2 linked regions of the Drosophila melanogaster genome follow. The protein of the gene in region 2 interacts with the protein of the main gene of each other region in a pairwise test. Each region holds a gene or a part of one and is shown on either strand. Other genes may lie near its edges.

Region 1 (10,998 bases), on a different chromosome or scaffold from region 2:
CCCTCTCTATCCATCCAGCTATCCGTCCATCCACCCATCCATCCCTATTCCTATCCATACCCATCGCACCCACTCTGACAGCTCGAGTGGCGAACTTCATTACCCAAACCCTGGGAATCGGGAGGAGCAAAACCATCAAAGAGGCTTTCAAGTTTGACCACAAGTGTTGTTGTTGTCGTTACCTAAAAAGCTTCCTTTTTCCTACCAGCGGAGGGGATGGGGGATGGTTTGCCTGATGTCTGCCTCGTGTCACTTATAAACTTCACTTTAAGCTGTCAATATTTATAAATATTTACACGCCACGAATGGTGGCAGGATTGGCTGTGGGTGCGGGATGCGGGTTGGGGATGTGGGAGTGGGCAGCCTTGGAGACCTGGTGACCTGGGTTCTCTGGAGTGGCGCTTGATGGTTTTACGTTTCCATCTAGGAAGATTATGGCTCTGACATGACCTAGACTTGCAGTAAAAGGAAGCAGGTATTTTATAACAGCTCGTTTTTTTGGGGAGCTTAAATAGGTGGTAAAGTGATGGCTTTAAGACTTTACGTAAAGGAAAACTTATTTTACTTAGTAACTATTTTTTTTGTGCTTTAGAAAAGATAACTTTTCTGCTCGGATATTCTACTTAAAGAAGAGGGCTTTAAAAGCAAGTCGGTGGAGTTTTTAATCATTGTGCATAATATAGTATCATATCCTGCACTGTAAATAAAAAGATATTATTGGCCTAAGCCCCAGGATTTCTTTAACATCCAGCCGGTGGTTGAAAAAGGCTAATCCACATCTGACAATCATTAGGCGTAATAAATTTCGGCTGTCATCCATCTAAAACCCTTTCGAAGAGACTACCTTGTGGACCCCGACTCCTCCAGGCGGATAACAAAGGAAAACGATAAAAGACAAGAGCTCGCTTCCTTAAAGTCTGAATTCGAGGGCCATAAATGTGCAACATAATTCTCGGGGCTCTCGATTGGAACGATATTTTTATGCAAATTGTAATCAAGGAGCAGAGGGCACACAATCGGAATCACACACGGGCATATGCCGAGCCCAATTCGAGCCAATAAAATGCGAACAAATGCCGCTTGGATAAGTGTAAAATTTACAATTCCAATTCCGCATCCGTTTTCAATTTCCCAGCAGTTGTGCCGAGAGTCTTTAAAATCGAACAATGGCCTGGAAAATTGTTAGGGCTTAAGCAAGGGTCTGATAACAATGGGACTTAAGGAACAATCCCGCAGATGTTTAACACATATTTTGCACAACTATTTAAGCCGTTGATTTCGACGCCCAATGAAATTAAAATTTTTCAATGCGATTTGTGCTGTATGATGATTTGTATTTGTATTCCTCGCAGGGGTTGATCTCTAATGAAGCCATTAAGGGTAGGCAGCTCCTCCATCTTGGCATGTGTGTGGTTAACTTTCGGCAAACACAGAGGTCCATAACTGTTGTCGTTCCAGCCGGCAAATGAATAAATTATCAACTGTGTATGTGAGGTAGGAAAAGTCCTTCGGCCCCATCTCCATCCCATAGTTGACTCCCAGCTTGAGTGTGCTCTAATTGCAGCTCCTTGTCGTCGGGCCATTAGAAGCCGGCACTAATGGCTCTCATTCAGGGGGTGGTCGGGTGGTCAGGTGGGTGGCCAGGTGGCTGGTTGGGTGGTGCTCCGGTAACTTAAAGTCACCAGAAGCCGCAGTAACATTAGCGCATAAAAAAGGCATTTGTAAGACATGAAAGGTACTCAGTCAAGTGAGTTGTGGGCGGCAGGTGGCATTTATCTCCGCCCACCAACTCCGATGACACATTAAAGGCAAGCAAATCGAATTCACGAATAAATGTTACCCTACAAATTAAGGGAGGTTACCAAATAACCCAAGCTGGTTTAAAATCTACTGCATTCCTTCAAGATTAATTTGATAAAGGTGACAAGAAATTTGAGTTTGAGAAAAGCTGTTTAAGTATAACTCGTTATTTCCAGAATACCTACCAGCTCAAAATATTTGCCTGTTGCTCCAATCTCCAAGTACAGCATACCCCGTGAATTGCTTGGCAACGGGGTACAAAAAAGGAAGACAAATCAATGCAGGTGTCACAAATGTCAGCCGACAGCTTTTGGATCCCTTCCCGCTTCCTTTGAGAGAGGATATTAATGTCGCCAAGTGAATTGATGATGCCGATTGTTGTTGTCCCAGGGCATAAGCCGATTTGCCATCTTATCACAGGCCCCGTCGCCCGACGACGACTCCGTCAGTAAATCCAGCTCCATCTCCGACACTCCAACGACAATTCCTATTCTGATTCCGATTCCGATTCTGACTCTGATTCCGGTTTCAATCTCTGAGGCGAGCTTTCATAAAGGGACCCCCCCCCCCTCCACCGATTGACAGGCATAATAAATCATGTGTTATAGTATTAATCAAGCTCCTTCTGGCTTCTTCGACTGGTTGCTCCTTTGACTGCTGAGCCTGCCATTGTTGTGCCGGATAATCGCTTGACATTTATTGCAGCTACCGGCAGGATGTGCTCGCATCGACTTAAAGTCCTCGCTTCAAGTTGTCCTCGCAAAGTGTCCTTTAATTGCGCCTATTTCGTCTGCTCCTTTCGGCCTGCCAGTCGTGCATTTTGCAGGCATTGTTTCTCTAATTGCTATTTGTCGCCAGTGTCCCATACAAGTGGGCAGCCATTCGTCCTCCGCCGCCCAACTTTTCTGTCTGGCCGTCACATTAAGAACTTGTAAAGTTAAATTAAGTGTTTCGTCTAGTAAGCGGGAAAAAAGCAAATGGCAGCAAAAGCGCCAAGAAGCTGCAGAACTTACGAAAAGGATAATTGCGGGGGCGGAAAGGTAGTTTTCCCTTGCTAATAGTTGTCTGCTTTTAAGAGATATATTTGTTAAATTTTAAAGGAAAGAATTGGTTAGAATTCAAATGATAGGGAAGATAAATGTATTGCATTTTGAGAGGAGGTTCAAGTTTAAATTGGAAGGAAGAAATTCAAAGGGTCTGCTCAAACTAGTTCTGCAAAATGTGTAAAAATGGGAGTCTGAAATATGCTTTGCCCCATTTCATGTGCAAATTCTACATCACATTGCAGTTTGACATTCAAAGCGCATAGTTTATCTGCAAAGTTCGAAGTAATTGGGACAACAACTGTGATAAACAATTCTAAAGCTCAATTTCGAAACTGAAAGTATTTCAAGAAATGCTCAAGCAACCCTCGCATCAGCGTGGCCTCGTTTCACCTACACCGCATTGCTGGCAATATTATTTAATTCGCAGACAGTTAATTGTAATGCAATTAAGGGATTAGCTGGGAATGCCATTAGGCTTTATTGTTCATATGAACAGGACAGAATGAATTGGTATCTGCGATGATAAAATTCGGAGAAGGCGGCGGCTGCTCATTTATCTAAAAGATTCATTTTAATGACAGGCACTTCAAAAACTCAAATCTAAGCGGGCATAGAATGCGTTACTCAATTATTTAAATTGCAGGCAACAAATCTAAAGTGTTTGCATGATTTTACTAAGAGCCAGCCCCATGCCGCCAAGCAATTTAATGTAATTGCTGTCGCACTCAAAAGTAAAATCCGAAATGTACAAAAAATGACTGCCGGGCGCTGTGGGCCAACTTGCGGGCCAACTTGTGGCCCATCCATACGGTCCATTTAAATAAACCAAATGTTTATTTTGCCGAACTACTTCGATTTCGATCGCTTCGTCTTACCATTGCTTTTTGTTTTTTATTCTTGCTCGAAATAAATGTCTGTGCATTTTAGTTTGCTTTCCGTTTGATTTGATTTTTAGGCTACGTATATCGTCGAGTGTCCTGTCGGTAGTCCTGGGAGTTTTCCTTCGGGCTGATATCAGCAAAAATCGCAAATCAAATAAAGCAAATTGAATAAGAGACAAGTGCCACGCCTCCGCTGGCGACTCAACTCAATGCCCTGGGTGGGCGTACGTGTGGGCGGTAGGTGGAGCTGGAGCGGGGGCGTGGCAACGGTTCTCGGGCACAAAAATTAGTTGGTAGTTCCATTCGAGCCAACGTTGTTGTAAATGCGAGGACAGAAATCAAAATGTTCGCATAAAAGAATTATCTGTGCTTAAGTTAGATTATCCCCGGGCCATAGAATCCAATTGGCAATTGAATGGAAAGATGTCGCAGATTCGATTTGCCAACTTTATTTTCTTGCCCATCGCTTTGTCCTTCCCTGATTTGAAGTTCGTGTGCCACTTGAAAGTTGCCCAGCCTCTGGTATCTCAGTCCTCGAATGCATTTCCTTTTTATCGGATTCCATTTGATTTTCTTTTGGGCACGGAACAACAATGCCCAACCGAATGTTGTGGGTTCTCTAGTTTTTTTTTTTTTTTTTTTTTTTTTTGGGAGGGCTGGCAAGGTTTTGGGGTTAGACAAATGTTATGGGTGCCATAAAGCTGAAGGTGGAGCGCCCATTTAAGTTCTTAGGAATGAGAGTAAATCTGAAAGGATGTAAGGCCTCTCGGTTCAAACAAAAAACCCTAAACAGTTTGGAGCTCATAAATCAAGTCGTACATTTATTCCTTCGCTACAACCCTTCTAATCTCTGATTCGGCTGAATTTTTTTTAAATATTTGCAGTAAAAATAACCCAAACGGAAATTAGTAAAAGCTATTTGAACTTCGTTCCATTAATTAAAGGATTTAAAATCATTTATTTATTTATTTATGCTCCATGAAAAATATTATATTTTCCGACTAGCACATACGTCCAGCGCCGACTTTATCGCCCTTATTGGACTCCAATTCCTGGAGGACCGATGAAAGAAGACTTATTTCGCGCATGATGAAGCTCATGATTTTGTCGATCTCATAGCTGTGGTAGCTGGGAACAATGTCTGCGGGGGTGGAGTTGGTACATCAGCTAGAGTCAAAGGATTTCAAGGACATACCTCGACGTTTGCAGAGCATGCGGTACAGGATTTGAATGCCATCAAACATGCGCTCCTTGTCCAGGTTGTAGAGCGACGTGGTGTCCTTGCAGGCACTTAGTATCTTTTCCCACTTGAGGCAAGTGGCCCGCGAGCTGACATAGGAACGATCCAAACGGGCCAGATCGTTTTTGAGGCCCAAAACGGTCAAGGCCGCCTCGCTGGTGATCTGAACCATTCGCAGGCGCATCTCCTCGATCTCGTTGAGTTTCTGGCTCTCCAGCTTATTGATCTCCACCTGGGCCAACACTGCACAACAAAAACAAATTTAGAATGGAAATTACAGGAGGTGTGGAGAACCCACTTAGAGCGTCACATCGATCGATGCAGTCTTTCGTTGAGATGAAGATGTCCGACACCTCGACTACCTCCTCCAGGACCCTCTCGTATGGCTGAAACTGAGCCACCGTGGCCTTGAGCGCATTGCGAAAGGTGCTCAGTTCGGCAATGGAGGTCTTGAACTCGTCTATCTCCTTGGTGACCTCCGCGTGGAGAACGGTCTCCTCGCGAATCGACTTATCCGCACTGCGCTTTTTGTCCGCACAATCCTTGATGAATCCATTCACCTCGACGAAGCGTTTGCGCAGGCGCTCCTGAATCTTGTACATCTTGCGAATGCGCTGCACATTTAATGCGGCTTGCCGCTTGGCATCTTTGAGTAGCTGGATCTGAACCTGCTTCATGGCGTCGTACTCCCGGAGATTGGCTATGTACAGCATCTCGATGTTATCCCCGGCCGAATCCCAATTGGGCGGTTTCCTAGACCATCCAAGTTTCATTAATAGTATGACTTACATATTGTAGTTGCTCTTTTAGCTTACACGAAGAATTGGTCCTGCTGGCGAGAGACGCGATAGTCATCGATGGCGACCTCTGGACTGAGGTCCAGATCCCCGATCACATCGGTCTTAATGGTGGGCTTACGTCGCGGCATCTTGTCCTATTAAAATATAATCTTTTCAAATATATTGATATATATTGGGGGAATATCTATTGGAGAACGATGTGTGATGAGTAATTCTACATGTATATGGGCAGACAGCACAGTCAAGGATAAAAGGATTAAACCATTTTTTATTACTACATTCAGATATTTATGCAATTGCTGACGTTTCCTTCATAAGTACGACCAGTCGTTAAATCAAGTAAAAACAATTGAAAAGATATCATAATTCTATAGTTGTTGATTAAAAATTAATCATCATCGAGTATCAAGAGTATATTAGGTTCGGCTTGCCGAAGAAGCTTCCTATTTTGTTTTTTCGAAAGAAACCAAATTGTGCAGTTACCATGACACAAAACTGGTTACACCTTCTCAACCATTGCCACGGTAATAAAAGAACCTCCTGGCAACCAATTGTTTTTATGTGTCACCCAAATAAAAAACATGTTCCAAGTAGGTCTTGTTAATTTTTATTACAAAACAATAACACACTTTGAAAAGTAAGCACACAGCACACACAACTACTACTACAAAACGCACAATCCGCGCTGTATCGCGGTAACCAAAGCAAAAAAAAATATAAAAAACTAACAAAAACGTACACTTGAGCTTTTACTTTCGGCAAAGAGATCCAAGATGCCCCGCGTGAAGCCCACCAAGAAGCTCGATGTTCTGGGAAATCTGGACCTGCGGCCGGAGGATGCCGTGGGGGACTATATCAGCTCTAAGCAGCAGAACAAATTCTTCGTGTAAGTAGTGAATCCCACACTGAAAAAAGGCTGAAAGAGAAGTACCCAATCCTAAAATGATCCTGGTAGTGCAGTTTGAGATTTTTGAGAAATTTTACAGCTTCGTAATTTACTGTTGCAAGGATGTCTCTATCTGGTATCAATTATTTGACCTATTCGTAACTTCCTGTAGAATTCCACCGAACTCGGACTCTGCCGGCGACTCCATCGAACTGATATATGTGAACAATCTCCGCGAGCACGAAGCCATGCTCAAGCTGCAGGAGGAGATGCTGACCAGTGCCAAGCGGCAGACCAAGCTGAACTCCGCCCGGGTGAGGAACATGTACAAGATCCAGGAGCGGCTGAGGCGGCGCTTCATCGAGGTGAACAGCTTCATCAAGGACTGCGCGGACAAAAAGAGAGTGGCCGAGAAGACCGCCCAAGCGGAGACGCTCAACCATAAGGAGCTCGGCGAGGGCATTGAGAGCTTCAAGGACTCGATCGGCGAACTCAAGGCCTTTCGGGAGGCTCTCAAGGCCACCGTGCAGGAGTTCCAGCCCTACGAGAAGGTGCTCGACGAGGTGGTGAAGGTATCCGACATATTCGTCTCGCCAAAGGACTGCACCGATCGCTGTGATGCGCTGAGTGAGCATTGCTAATTTATAAAATGAAATAAAGTTATTAATTTTTTTTTGTTCTACAGTGCTGGCTCAAGTGGAGATCAACAAGTTGGAGCATCAAAAGCTCCAGGACATCGAGAACATGCGGCAGCGTATGGTGCAGATCACAAATGATGCGGCTCTAACTGTGCTGGGTCTAAAGAACGATCTGGCCAAACTGGAACGATCCTACAACGAGTCCAGAGTGCAGTGCCTCAGATGGGAGAAGATCCTGGCCAAGACCAAGGACGCCATCAACAACAACTACATGGACAAGGAGCGCACAATAGATGCGATTACCAACCTTCACCGAATCCTTCTACGGCGAAGAGGTTAGTCAAAAAATCTTGCTATTATTAAATAATTTATTCATTTTATTATTTTAGATGTACATTCGTTTCCCGCTCGCGGCGACTTGGACAAGGTGTTGGATGCCATCATGGGCGAAGTGGAAATATTAACTGGCGTTGTAAAGGAAATCGAATCATCTGATCCCTCGATAAAGCACGAGGAAGCCAGAGATAAGTCGCTGTGCTAATTGGATATCAAAATTCAAAGAGTTCATAGGGAAGACTAGGCACACCTCACAGCTATTACAACTATAAAAGCTTATTAAAAGCGAAACTTTTAAAACGTTTGTTTGTTTCTATAGAAAGAAGTGCTTTGTGTGATGGTTCGCTGCTCTTAGCCTGCTCCTGCAGCTTGTGGCAATTGTTAATTGTGCTGAGCTCTGCATTCGGTTGTTAATGCCACTTTCTAATTGCTTTTACCTCATAAATCTTCTCCGCTGCTCCTCAATGCCTCCGTCCAAGTGGATGGTCCGAATTGGGGTCCTGGAGCGGCTTTCGTCGCGTCCTGCTCTGCAGTCATCATAAGTCACCGAATTGTCGGGCACTCAAGACAAATGTGACACTTGCTTATTTAATTAGAGATCTGCAGGCGGGATGGAAGGCCAGTACTTAAGCTCCAGAGTCTGTGCATCAACTGGACGACATTTAGCGCTAACTGCGCCAACTTCGCTTGACGGCTTTTTAATTACGTCAGCCCGGGAAATGTTCCTCTTACCACTGCTCTGCATGACAATTAGCCGGTCTAAAAAAAAAAACCCGCTCTCTGGTCAATTGAAAATTTTCTTGCTATTTTTCAGCAGGGAAAAACTTTTTTAATTACCACCGAAAAGAGACGGTGACAAAAAACAATAGTCGACCATTCGGCCGGCGGCTCTGATTTTCAATTATTTATTGACAGGAGTCTCGATTCGTCGTTTAACCTGTCGAACTCTTGACACGACCTCCGCTTTTTCAGCAAATGCACAAGTTGGGTTTGGGCTCAACACTTTTGCTGCAATGCAACTTTAATGCCGGCTAACTGACAGATTCAACTTCAATAATTGATGCGAAAATGCATAAAACAATTTCGATAAAACAGTTTTTAGATGTCATCGTGTTAATTATGCATATGCTAGAAAAACAATCCCTTTGACCGGCAAAATAATTGGCTTAAACATTTGAATTTGTGCTCTGCCAAAAGTTTGCACTTCTTCAGTGCGAGGAGTGGCAAAAATTAATCAGCACCACAAATTATCGGGATGACAAACGCCCTGCGGACAGAAATAAGTTTGAAAACATCCATACACATATGCGATTCAGAATATGTTTTTAATACCCCAACCCACTCGGTTTCTCTGACATCTTTATGCCATGTCGGCTTCTAGTCGTGTTTTGGTTTCCCGGTGCCCGCTGGTGACATTTCCGCTCTGCCTGGTCTTTGGGTCTTCGGGATTGGATTGCCGAAAAAAGAAGGTGTAAGAAGTCGGACGAGGTGATGTATGGAAACATTTTAATTAATGCTGACAGCTGGAAATGTCGCGGCCACCTTTTGTTGTGTAAATTTCATCGACTCGAGGCGTTGGACTCTATAATTATGATTGGATATCGTTGCACGTTCCTCGCTCCCACTTCTTTCTATTTTCAATTTGCCCCACCCGTTTGCTTCCCCATTGAGCAGCACGTCACTAAATTAATCCGCTTAGCAGTCGCATATTCCCCTCGATGTTTACCCGACCAGACAACCCGAGCAGACCCCATCCGAGCCCAAAGAATCAGATTCGGAGGAGGAGGAACCGGCCAGACGCTTGACCAGACGGTTAAGCCTTAATCCTCGATAGTTGTTGGCCCTTAAACTCTTCTAGGGTTTCCATCGCTCGGGCGTTTTTTTTTTCTTCCAGGTGTCAAGGTGAATGAATGGCACATCGGGGAGTTGGGGACACCAACTCCACTTGACCGGGGAGCTAATTAATGGGTCCGATTGTTAGGTAAATGCTTGTTATATGAATACAGATAGCATAAATTGAGGATTAAGCACACAACTTGATTTCATTCAAATCAATTGAAAATTTATTTCTCTTGCGATAGAAACCTCATAAATAAGTGGGAAAAGATGAGACTTGCGACTAATATATGCATATGAATGCATTTCGATTTGATGCACTTGCAAATTAGAATTAACAATACCAACAATAAAGGCTTTTTAAAATTCTATATGATATTGCATATTCAACTTCTATACTTTCCAAAATCCTATTTCGAGTCCCAACAACATTATAGACTAATGATAAATAATCCAGAAAGCATCAATTTGCTGGTCTCCAACGGGCAACCTCCTCAATGCCAAACGAAACTATTGACCCTGTCCAAGTCGCCTTAACCTTTGCTGTGCCCGTCGGCAAGAACAAGTGAGCTGCTCCTGACCAACGATTTCCATTGTAATAACAATATATAACACACAAATTTGAATAACAAATTAACTGCTACACACGCACACACCATCTCCAGTACACGGGTGACATTCGGGAAGTCTTGGGGACCACTCCTCGTCCTTCTCCTTGTGGCGTGGAACTGGAAATAGCCATTCGAGCTGGACTCCTGTGCGATACAGCGTAGGACATCATACAACATGCAATATAATTGAATGCCTGCAGGATGTATAGACACATGTGTGTATATGCGCCATACACAATATACCAGCTAGCCGGCTACCATAGCCACAAAATATTTGCTTATGTGGCCCAAAGCAGACCATACCCGACCCGACCAGACCAGAACCAAATCCAAGCCGGAGCTGAGTTCGAGCCCAGCCCAAACAGCTTTCGACCACCAGCCAAATGTGACTTTGCAGCGTCAACGTCAATGTTGCATAAATCAACACACCGACGATGGCGATGCCAATTTTGTGGCTCCATATCCGCCCCCGAACCACTGAGCCACCCAACCACCCGACCACCGAACCCCACAACCCCTGAACCGCCGCACCACCGCCGTCTACTTGATTGAATATTTCAAGCTATGCATCTTTAATAATGCGCCACGACGGCGATGTCGATGTCGATGACGTTGCCTCGGGCCAGTTTGTGGCACCGGCCATGCAAATGCAAATGGGCAAATGTAAAATGCAAACTGAAAACTGCAAAATGCAAAATGCACAGTGGCCGTCGAGGATGTAATTTGGGCGTTTTTTCCGTCTTCCTACACTAAACTGACCGCTGTCTAAGTCAGGCACGTCAGTACCGACTCCTGCCGGTTTATGGAGCTGGAAACGCCTTCTAATCAAAACCGACTTGACTTTTATTTTCTACGTGCCGCCTTTTACCCTTTCTTGAGGTGGGTAGGTACACTTTTTCCGAGAGCTCTGATCTAAGAGAATCG
Region 2 (10,498 bases):
CTGCCTCTTCCGCTTGCCACTTTCTCCCCCAGGTGAAAGACCACCATTGTTGTTGCGAAGTAGAGGAATAAAAGACCATTGCAATTATTGGAGCACATTATAAGCATTTTGTTGACGACGCTCGGTCACAAGATAAATTGATAAAACTGACACGGGTACGCTCACCTGTTCCGTATAGTACTTCTTGTCCCGTTTAACGAGCTGCGTTTTAAGTTTTTACTGCTGCCCACGTGTCGTATACGCAATGTCAGTTTTTGCGACTACTTGAAAGAATCTATTTGGTGAATGAGTGGTTTGCAGTTTATAATGCCCAATGGTATTTCTACAGAGTATTTTTACTTTACCCGTCTATGAACTTGCTTTTTCATATATTGCATTTCTCGAAAGAAGTATACAAGTAGTTGGCAGACGATCATTTCTCCATTTTGTGGCTGGTAAAATGTAAATATCCTCAGCATTTCAAAAATGTTTATGAAGGTAAATAGACTAAATTCATTTATGTAACTTGCCTAACTGGTTTACCACAAAATATTTTCAGACTTTATGATGACCTAAGGAAATGCAGAGATGAAATGATTTAATCGTATTTATAAAATAGCAAATGCATTTCACATTAATGGAATGTGGGGAAACGCACTTAAACTTAATTAAGTTTCTTCTGTTTCCTAAACATGCAAATGCGACTTTCTACTGATTAGAGTTTTGTGTAAAATACAATGACTAAAAATGTGTTAAATTGAACACGCCTTGCAATGTGCTAATTTCCCACCCAATTTCTAAAGTTTTGTCATAAGAAACACAAATGATGTACTCAAAGAAGTACAAAAGAGCAAATGGCACCTATTTCCGTGTTGATAGAACCTTTTCTTTCCTGTCAAACGTTATTTTCCATTGTTTCCGCCCCGAAGGACCTTTCCCAAAGGGAGTCAGTCCAGGCAATACAGAGCCACAATACGAGAAAACTTCGACTAATACCTGCATAATTGTTGTGCTAATTTTGTCAGCACGCCCAGTTAATGTTTCTATTGACACCAAGCACGATGGCGAAGGGGCACCGACGGGTGGGCGGTGCTGGGCGATGTCCTTTTCCAGAGTTGCACTGCTTTGACATTATTTACGCTTACCTATGGGTTTGGCTCGCCCTCACCTCCCCCCTTTGCCAGTCCCCTTTCGAGTCTGAAAACAGTGATTAAACTAATTTTATGCAGAAGCGAGGCAGGACGAGGGCGAATACAAGGATACAGGCGAGGATTCGCGGAAAACGAGGAAACGGCGAGGGGCGAGGCAATAAAAAACCATTTAAAACATTCAAAGTGTCGCATGAGAATGGGCGAAGTGAAAGTCGACAAGCGCTAACGACTGGCTTCGATATGGAAAATAGTCGATGGCTCTATTTTGCTATTTTTCCATTACCATCTATCTCTATATGGGAAAAGATAACAGCATGAAAAGCAAGCAAAAACTACGCTATCTTGCATTAAAAGTCGATTCGGATTGAATCGGTTTTAATGGAAAAGTGAATTAAAATTCATTAACACGATCAACACTTTTCCACGCTATTCTTGATTATTTTTCCCAGTGCCTAACCAAATAAATGTGCTGAGCGCAAAAATGAAATCAAGCCCAACAACCAAAGAAACAAAGTTTAGCAATAAAAATCTAAAACAAGGAGTGCGAGTTGTAGCCAGTCTGTTTATAAAGCCATTTTAGCATGGGCTGTCTCACCTGGCACCACCCAAACAGCACCACCCACTAAATGGTGCCCGAAACCACCCACTTTCTCCCAGCACCATCCACTAGCAACCGGCGATGGGTTCATTAGCAGTGACTTACATTACACAAGCTTTTCCTTGTTTTTCGCTATTTTCCTAGTTTCCTTGGTGCTGTTAATTACGACCCCACGATAAAAATGGCAGGAAAAAAGGGGAAAATCGGTGGGGAATGAAAGGAAAAAATGCCTGGCACACAATTGGAAATTTATAAAAATTACACGTAGATTGACAGGCAATTTGTCCTTGTTTAATACGAGGTGGTTATCCACTGCCAGCGGTTGTTGGCTTATTGACTGATTTCTCCGAATTCCCGAGGCTTAGACATGTGGCTTTTGGAGGCACGGCGAGGTCTATTAGGTTTCATTAGTGTCTAATTACCCAAAAGCGAAATTAGGCGAAAGCCAATTATAGTTAATGCATTTAGCAATTTCGACTCGTCGAAACTCGTTGGACATTTATGGGATGACAAGCATTGTGTTACACCACGTATTAGTCGATAATCCTGCTGCGCATTTCCAATTAATAAGGCATATATTATGTGGCATGGTATCCTTGTGGGCATAAAAAAGCCATTCACACTCGCATTCAGACATATTCCAAAAGGAACAACCCATCGACATTTCTGTCGAATGGAAAGAAAGTAGCCAACCATTAACTCACACCCACTATCCGATTCTCGATTGAGCAATAAAAAACTACCGGAAAAGCATTCCCCTAGATTTAGCTAGACAAATACACAGGTACATATATGTGCATTCGTGGCTGGCAATAAATTATAAAAATATCCGAGTGCCTCAGAAGCAGAAGGAAAGTTTCCGGCTAAAAGAGAAACGAAATGCCAGTGGAGAATTCTTGGGAATCGAATCATAGTTTACTAGCAAATAAACCCGAAACTGGGCTGCTGAATTTATTTCAAAATTAAATTCCTTATTCGGAGCCACTGAAAAGTCATTTATAAAATATTTCATTTTCTGCACTAAATAGAAGCTAATCCAAAGTCAATGGCCTGAAAAATAGCTTCCTTCTTCAACTAAAAAAAAATTCTGAAGTTGACTAAAAGAAACGATTTTCATATTCATGAGTGTCGTGCTCTCTGGCTTTACTTGAGATAAATTCAAATTTAATCCCCACATTCCTGATGTGTATAAATTCCGAAAGGCAAAACATTAAATATTGAGCAACGCTCCGTACATTTGATTTATGAAAACATATTACTCCCGTTGCTATCCTACAGGGCGGAGAAAAGAAACACAACCGGAGTAAAAATACGGATATTTGTGAAAGCTTCTTCCACGGGCTGGGAATATAAGCATATGAAAAACTAGCTTCCGTTACGTTTATGATAATATTTTATTAAAGCGCAGCATGCCACTATAACTACGGGTTAGCAACCAAATGGCAGGAGTTTGAGTTGCACGCACCCAAGGAATCGTAGGCGAAATCCAGAGCGAACTTGGAGCTCTGGAGCTCGATGACGACGTCGACACGCCCCGCCAAAGAGTTCGTAATAAATTTATTATTGTGCCGCACCAGAAGCCAGAACAGAAACGAACTGAACCGAACCGAACAGAAGTTGCAGGACGATGGCGTAGGTGGTGGTATCTCAATTTTGATGGCATAGATAGCACAACTTTTAGCCGTCTCTTGCGGTTCTGACGCTGCGATAGGCAACGTAAAGTTTTCGCTTCTTGAACTTGTTGCATTGACAACCTGCAACGGAAGTTGCTCCCTTTAGATTGCAACTTTTGTGTGCATATCGCGAATGCTGATAACCCGCAGCCTGTAAATTAAAGATACCTTTTACAAATAATTGGGTTGGGTTTTATGGGTAAACTAACAATTTGATATCTTATTATAAATTTGAAATTAACGTAACACAATCTTAACCTATTTACCTTCGAAAATTGTATAGATAAGAATTGTGAGTGAATATGCTTATTTTATTACGTAGTTGTGTCCTACCATTCCCAAAAAAAATGTATTTTGAAGACAAATGTTACGCTTCACGCTATAAGTATTGCAAATAGGTAGCTGGAGGGTTGTTTTTTTTTTCTCAAGAAAGGATGCATCTGCATTTGCATCTCAGTAGCCAAGTATCTCAGCAAATTGGATGCAACCCTCGGCGGCGAACTGCAGTTGGCAAGCGTGTTGACAAGCACCACGCACTGTGATGCCCCCGGGGGCGTTGGGGATCTGGCCTGGTGCTTCAGATATGGCGCGAGATATGCCCAGGATAAACCATGCCATATACCTTTCCACTGCCGCAATATAAATAGCACTGATTTGCGCTAACAAATGCGGAGCGGTGGCTGTCGCTATCTGCTATCTGCGACTTGCTGGCAGCCCGAAAGTTAAGCCAACCAACCATACAACCCATTTGTTTATTATGAAAATACGGGCTGCTCGGTCTCGTGAGTGGAGCTCCGTATTCCGTATCGTTTTCTCCGGCCCTCTGAGCCTGTATCTGTGCCTGTGCATCTGTGTGCGTGTTCGGCGTGTTAGTATGAGTGGATTGCCGTCTGTGTGCGAGTGCTGCCCACAAAAACCTTAAACTGATGACACACTTCACATGGAGGTTTCTGCCTCTGGCTATGGTTCTGGCTCTTTTTTGGTCGTTGCCGTGCGCCCGTTCATAGAACTTACACAGTAAAAGGCAGCTAAAACTTGCAAGATTTTAATAAAAATCAGTAAATAGCAAGGGTTTATCAATATGTAAATGGCTTTGGATGTAAGTCCTTCGCATACTAGCTTCCTTATATATACTTCCTTATATATATATAACTCTTAAGAGCGACAGCTCATAAATTTCTGAACAATTCCTATTTCTAACTTTTTCAATGACAATTTATATGTCGTACTTACAATGTAAGCAGCGAATTAACCATTTACCATTTAGCACTCAAATATTTGTACGAATTTCGCTCAGTGCAGCTTGTAGCCGGCTTTCGGTGCTGCATTTCCGCTTGAATGGCGTCTGTGCTCGGAGCAACTAACAGCCCATTGACAAGGGGCAGTGGGTGGGTGGCTGTTGGAGGGTCGTAGGGCTGTTCAGTGGATGGTGCGGAGGGGCAAGTGTGTCACCACACACGACCACGTAACTGAAAGGCATACTTACCGTTTTAAAACTGTGCGCTCTGTACATGGCACACTACTATATTGACTTTGAAGCATAAAAAGCTTTCCCAGATACTCCAATACACTGGAGGCGAACTCTTTATTACCGCCCATATGCCGGAGTCATGTTTCTGTGTTCTGTAGCTCCAAGTGTGGGTATTGTACAATGAAAACCGTTGGAAGCCATGCCATGGGAATAGACGGTGAGATGACTTCCTGATCGATTTGGCTTAAGTCCGGGCCTTATCAGCATTGGTTCCCGTGGCAAGTGGTCCTTGGGGTTTTGCCAACATATCTAATGTTTCGAATTCATCCTCCTCTTCGGACTCCAAGTGGGCATCGAAAAGGGCACAGAAGTCCCTTATGTAGTTCCTAAGACTTGCAATTCGCGACTGCAATTGCACAAAGATGCGTTCATCGAAGACTTTCACCTTGATTCTATCGCCAGTATCTTTAGTTATCGAAGCCAGATCGTATAGGTCCCTTCGCTCGTCCAGATTCTTGCTACACAGGCGGCTGAGGTGCGTTACAAAGTCCTCCATGTCCTCTATAAGTTCCACTACTAAAAAATAGTTTTTGGTCTTATTTCGAGCAGTTATAGGCTTTGCAACGGAATAGGCATAATCGAACTTTTCACCAATGGCCTTAAGATCACCCGGTAGTCCCTTTAAAGCATTCTGAGTGCAGACTAAAAGACCCTGTAGTATAATTTATTAATATATTATTAGTTTTTTCTTATTTCGTTTTTTTAATAACTCTTGCTTACATTCATATCTGTGAAGGCTCTCCAGTCTGCTGATAATAGCTCATAATCTGGCCACCAGTCTTCATTTTCATCTTGAAACTCATCTCGAGTGGAAGCTATCATGCGAGTCTTTAGTATCTGAAGTAGTTGTCCCAGTCGTGGTTTCATCAGCTCTATGATCAGGTTTCGTAACTCTTCAATCTCTTTGCTTCCTTTAGAATCTTTGGGAGCTTCCTTCAATAGTTTATTTAGGACTTTAGCAGACTCCATGGTGGAAAAAAAATATAATGTGGCAAGTTGAAGCTGCGAGTTTGAGTAAAAATATTGCTGTATTAGCACCAAAATTTTTGTTTTGAAGTAGAATTCAGAAAACGCCTGGCCTCCTGAATTTTCACCATGCACTTCAGGACCAGTTATGCACATCCTCTTTATATACATATATACATATATTTAAAATTGTGCATATTTTGCCTTAACTGCAGCTGCCGCGGGAGAACGGCTTACGCTGCGTATACGCAACGTTGACACTATCTGTTTGCTTTTGGGTTTATAAAACTGTCTAAATCAACATATAAACCAACACACTGGAACATAAACACAAAAAAAATCTTCAACTTGGTCATAATATGTTCGTTTTTTAGCATGTTACATTTTAGGTTTTGTTTTTATTTGACAGGTTTTCTCGTTTTAAACTAATTGTAGTTGGCACTTTTGACCCACAATAAAATGCAATTTTAACCCTTTTGCTTTTCGTATTCGGTCTTGGGGTCAGAACAGCATAAATATGAAGGTGAAAATATAGAAATAAATTCATTGAGCAGAAAAGTGTCACAAAAACCTAAATAAACAAAGTGTAACAACATCTTAACACATTTATTAGACAAAATATGCTACATAGGCATAGTTTACATTTTTTCTGTTATGGGATTTTGTTTGTGCACAGAAACAAATGAGTTAATCTTGTGATTAAGTAAATAAATAATAAGTAAATAAATAAACTTCAATTTTCTGAGGGAGTATCCCTTTTTTTTTTTAATAATTTACTATCCTAACTGGAGCAATTCAGTATAAAATCCTATTTTGCCTCTTCTATAAGCCCGAAAGCTTCTCCGCTGAGTTCTTCTGCTGCAGCTAGTATATATGTATTCAGTTCTGTATATTTGTATGTGTGTGTATATATATGAAGCTTATGCTCCGCAGGATAAACAGTCGGGCAGAAAGGAACTGTGACAGTCGGAGAGGCGGAAGGACAAAGTGACTGAGGGACCAGCAGACAGACGCTTCTGCAAAAATGTTGGCGCAAAAACTTTTCGAGATTTGTGTCAGCTCGTTTGAGAATTAGTCGTAGGTTTTTAGCAAAATTAAAAAAAATCTGTCACTATGCGGTTGGCATTTGCCGTCTCATTGTTTTTCGGTCCCCTAACAGGGCCCTTGATCCCCCGGCTACCCCATTTCCACCCACTTTTCCAGTCTCAGTTCCATTTCCACATCCCCAGCTCCGGCTCCTTTTCATATTCGGCTTGTGTTTCCATTTCTACTTCTCGGCCACTATTTAGACAGTCACTTCTGCTCGCTGCACATGGACACTGCTAAATATACACATTAAAAATAATGTTACACAAATATAGAACCTTTTATAAGAAACGACGACTTAGAAGCAAGTTGGGAAATTCTTAAAAATAAATAGGGATTCATGTTATTCAGCCTATTATGAAACAGGTGCTAATATCCGCATGGTCATGCTAAAATTTTCGTTTTTAATCATAAAAATATTTTAAATTAGGTTTTTGAAGTATATTAAATACAGAGGTGCCCCATAGAACCATATGTGCTCGAGGTTGCGTGTACATGTTGTATGTACAAGTTTTGCGTTATATGCTCTCTGCGCTTTGATGCGACCGTTTCTTAAATAATTTATGTGCCGCAAAATGTGCAAAGTAATTTATTTTGATTATATGCAAAACAAGAACCGGCGCAAAAATGAAAATGGGCATCAAATAAAATGCGAAACGGCCGTCGAGTGTCAAAAAAAGGAGCTTTGGAGTCAAGTGCAGAGTAAAGTGAATTAAGTCCTGCACCTGGGCAGCTTTATTTTCGTATTTCCAAAAGAATCCCGCCTCTTGAAAGGCAAAAGAGGCCGTAAAAATTTATGTTGCTATAATTTAGCTTTAAAATCGCACCAAACCTCAGCCCAGCTCATCCGAAAAGTGAGAAGTGGTAACCAAGGGGGCGGTGCACGCATTTAAACGGAAATAAAATAAAATTACAAAAAGTGCGCAACTTTCTGACGTTGCGATTGTTATCCTCGTTGCTCCGGTGTTTTCCTTTTCAGATTATTTTTTTGGGCGCTTTTTTTTTTGCGTTTTTTTGGACTTTTAGCGAGGGCCGAAACGGCTGTCAGAAAGTGATTTAGAAACTATGCTATGACCCGGCTACCTTGGCCAGGTCGAGAACCGAGTTCTCCGAGCTCCCAGTTTGGAGTTCCGAGTTCAGGATTGGCATTTGTTTGTTGTCGGCTGTCGGCCGCCTGTCGTCGTTGGCCATAAAGTTGAATTTGAATTTAGCATTTTTGTTATTCGGCTATTGGCATTACCATTACCATTTTGTGTGCGGCTCTTGAAAATGCCTTGAAAACGAATTGAAATCGAATTGTTTGCACATTACTGCGGTTAGATAATTGAAGCCACATTCCAGTTAAAATTGCGTTAGTTCGCCGCTGAGTCAAGTGGCAAATACGCATAACTCATATAGTTTTTGCCACTTAAAAGCCACGGGCAAATATGCTGAAAATGTCAAAACGTCGCTTACATATTTAATGCGCTCTAACAGGCTTAATCAACATTACAAAGTAATTAGAGTTAATTCTTTTGTACTTGAGCGAGCAGAGACACCTGGCACAGTCAGGTAGACGAAGTGCTTACGCATGTAGCCGGTGACACAGCGAGATTCATGGTGAGAATGAAACTGAATCTGGAATCTGGAAGCTGATGAGGATGAAAATGATAATGAAAATTACGATGACGACGGGGTGATGGGGTTAGTGGTTGGGATGAGGATGAGGATGAGACCCGTATCTGTAAACTGTTGCGCGGCAATTTGCATGGTTAATTATCTATTAACTTGAGCATAACTTTTTCGTTGGATGCGAGTGCAGAATCCGCAGGATCCAGAACCGCCAACAATTGCACACACACAGACCCACAGATACAAATACCAAGACAAGCGGGTGAATTAGGTGCCTCCAACGAAAATATATACATCCGTTTCCGCTCTTGTCCTGGCAGTGGCTGCCATTGTCATTATATAAGAGGTAAAGCGAACTGCGAAAAATTCAAATTTGCACAGAATCCAGGTGGACTTGTTAATACCCTTGGTATATATACAAAATATATAAATATATATAAAACAATACATTTAATATATATGATTATATCACCAGATTCAGCAACTGCGATAATCATTTATTTGTAGTTGAATGGAATATCTTTCGTTCTAATTAATTTAAGTTTTAAATAGTTCATATACCTTAATATAGGTTTCAGAACTATAGGGTACAGAGAAGCAGCGTCAGCGGAAACAAGTTTATGGTAATCTTCATGCCTAAAGCTTTCCTTTGTTTCGATGCCGCTGCATGCCGTAAATTTCACTTATTAAATATTTGTGCTTAATTAAGAATTTAACTTTCACAACAAGCGAAATGTGACGGCAGTACAAGATTTTTAATGGCATTGGAAGCATAGTTCAAGTTAGACTTTAAGTTTTATTATGCATAATTAAGGTCAGGATGGGTGTGCTGAGTTACGACCTTCAATAAAAGTTTGACACACTTTTATAAGGTGAAGGAGTGATTTAAATTTATTAAAGTCTCAAATAATGGATAAGCAACTGTCATACCACCTTTTACCGTCCTGATAAATAAAATAACCTTAGAAATACTGTCTCAAATTTGATAAAAACAATATAGTAAAGTAATATACAAGTGCCAATATATAAGCACATATATCTATATACTATAGTTCCTATAAATATCAATTGAAGTCATTTCACAAGTTTCCGTTTCAGACAATTGCAGGGTTACGGCCATGGATTTCAAGTCGAATGTGAATCCATTTTCGGTTAATTTTTAAGAGCCCCAATCGATCTCCATTATTGACACATTTTTGACAAATTGCCAGATAGCCGCAGTGTTGGATTTGCGGAGTCCTTTTCCTTGTCCCGTAACTCGCAACTGAAACGTGTCTCGCATTTTTGAGGAGGCCGGTCTACCTTTCTGCTTTTTCGTGGTAATGGCAAATGGAAAAGGGTCAACGATTTGCGTATTATTTGCTTTATTTTCAATACGCATAGCGATCCCTTGTCAGGAGCAAAAGAAAGAGTGAAAAAAAAATAGCAAAAAGGACTCATTGCTAGGCAATGGATGCCTTGCTGCTGCGCAAATATTACCACACTTTTCGCCTCCTCTCCTCCCACTCACTTTTTGCTGGCCTGTTGTGTCCTTGCTCCGCTTCTTTCGCATTTCAGTTCATTTCTGGCCTTAATTATGTGCGGCACAGAATAAACAACAAATGCACAAGCAGCGCATATGTGCACATGCACTTTCAGCCCAGTTAATTGCTCACGGCACACTCGGAGCACTCTGCGCCACTTGACCGACCTGCCGAGACATCCTGCGAAAGTCAGCCATTTGTACTGCCACCCCCTCCCCATACCGCTCAACCTCCGTTGCTCTCCGCCTGACACTATTTAAACTAAATGCCCACCTTAAAATCACATTCTGCCAGGATGTCCAGGACACCGAAAATGTTTCTTTTGCCTGCGGCCAGATTTTCGTTATTTAAAACGGCCTTTGTCTGCGCTTGACCCTCTG

What was found. The genes of interacting proteins can lie anywhere in the genome.
Region 1: the proteins of CG17744 (region 2) and CG17564 interact in a two-hybrid assay, tested with the Drosophila melanogaster proteins (one large-scale study listed by BioGRID).

Annotation. Positions count from the first base shown.
Region 1 is NT_033779.5:19,295,270-19,306,267, reverse strand, and holds CG17564 (uncharacterized protein), read left to right. Parts: upstream 1-6,334; 5' UTR 6,335-6,540; coding exon 6,541-6,653; intron 6,654-6,825; coding exon 6,826-7,280; intron 7,281-7,338; coding exon 7,339-7,626; intron 7,627-7,680; coding exon 7,681-7,832; 3' UTR 7,833-7,923; downstream 7,924-10,998. Other genes in the region: CG10750 (uncharacterized protein), read right to left, coding at 4,729-4,866, 4,921-5,210, 5,266-5,720, 5,783-5,895.
Region 2 is NT_037436.4:7,020,848-7,031,345, forward strand, and holds CG17744 (uncharacterized protein), read right to left. Parts: upstream 5,948-10,498; 5' UTR 5,902-5,947; coding exon 5,653-5,901; intron 5,585-5,652; coding exon 5,117-5,584; 3' UTR 4,954-5,116; downstream 1-4,953.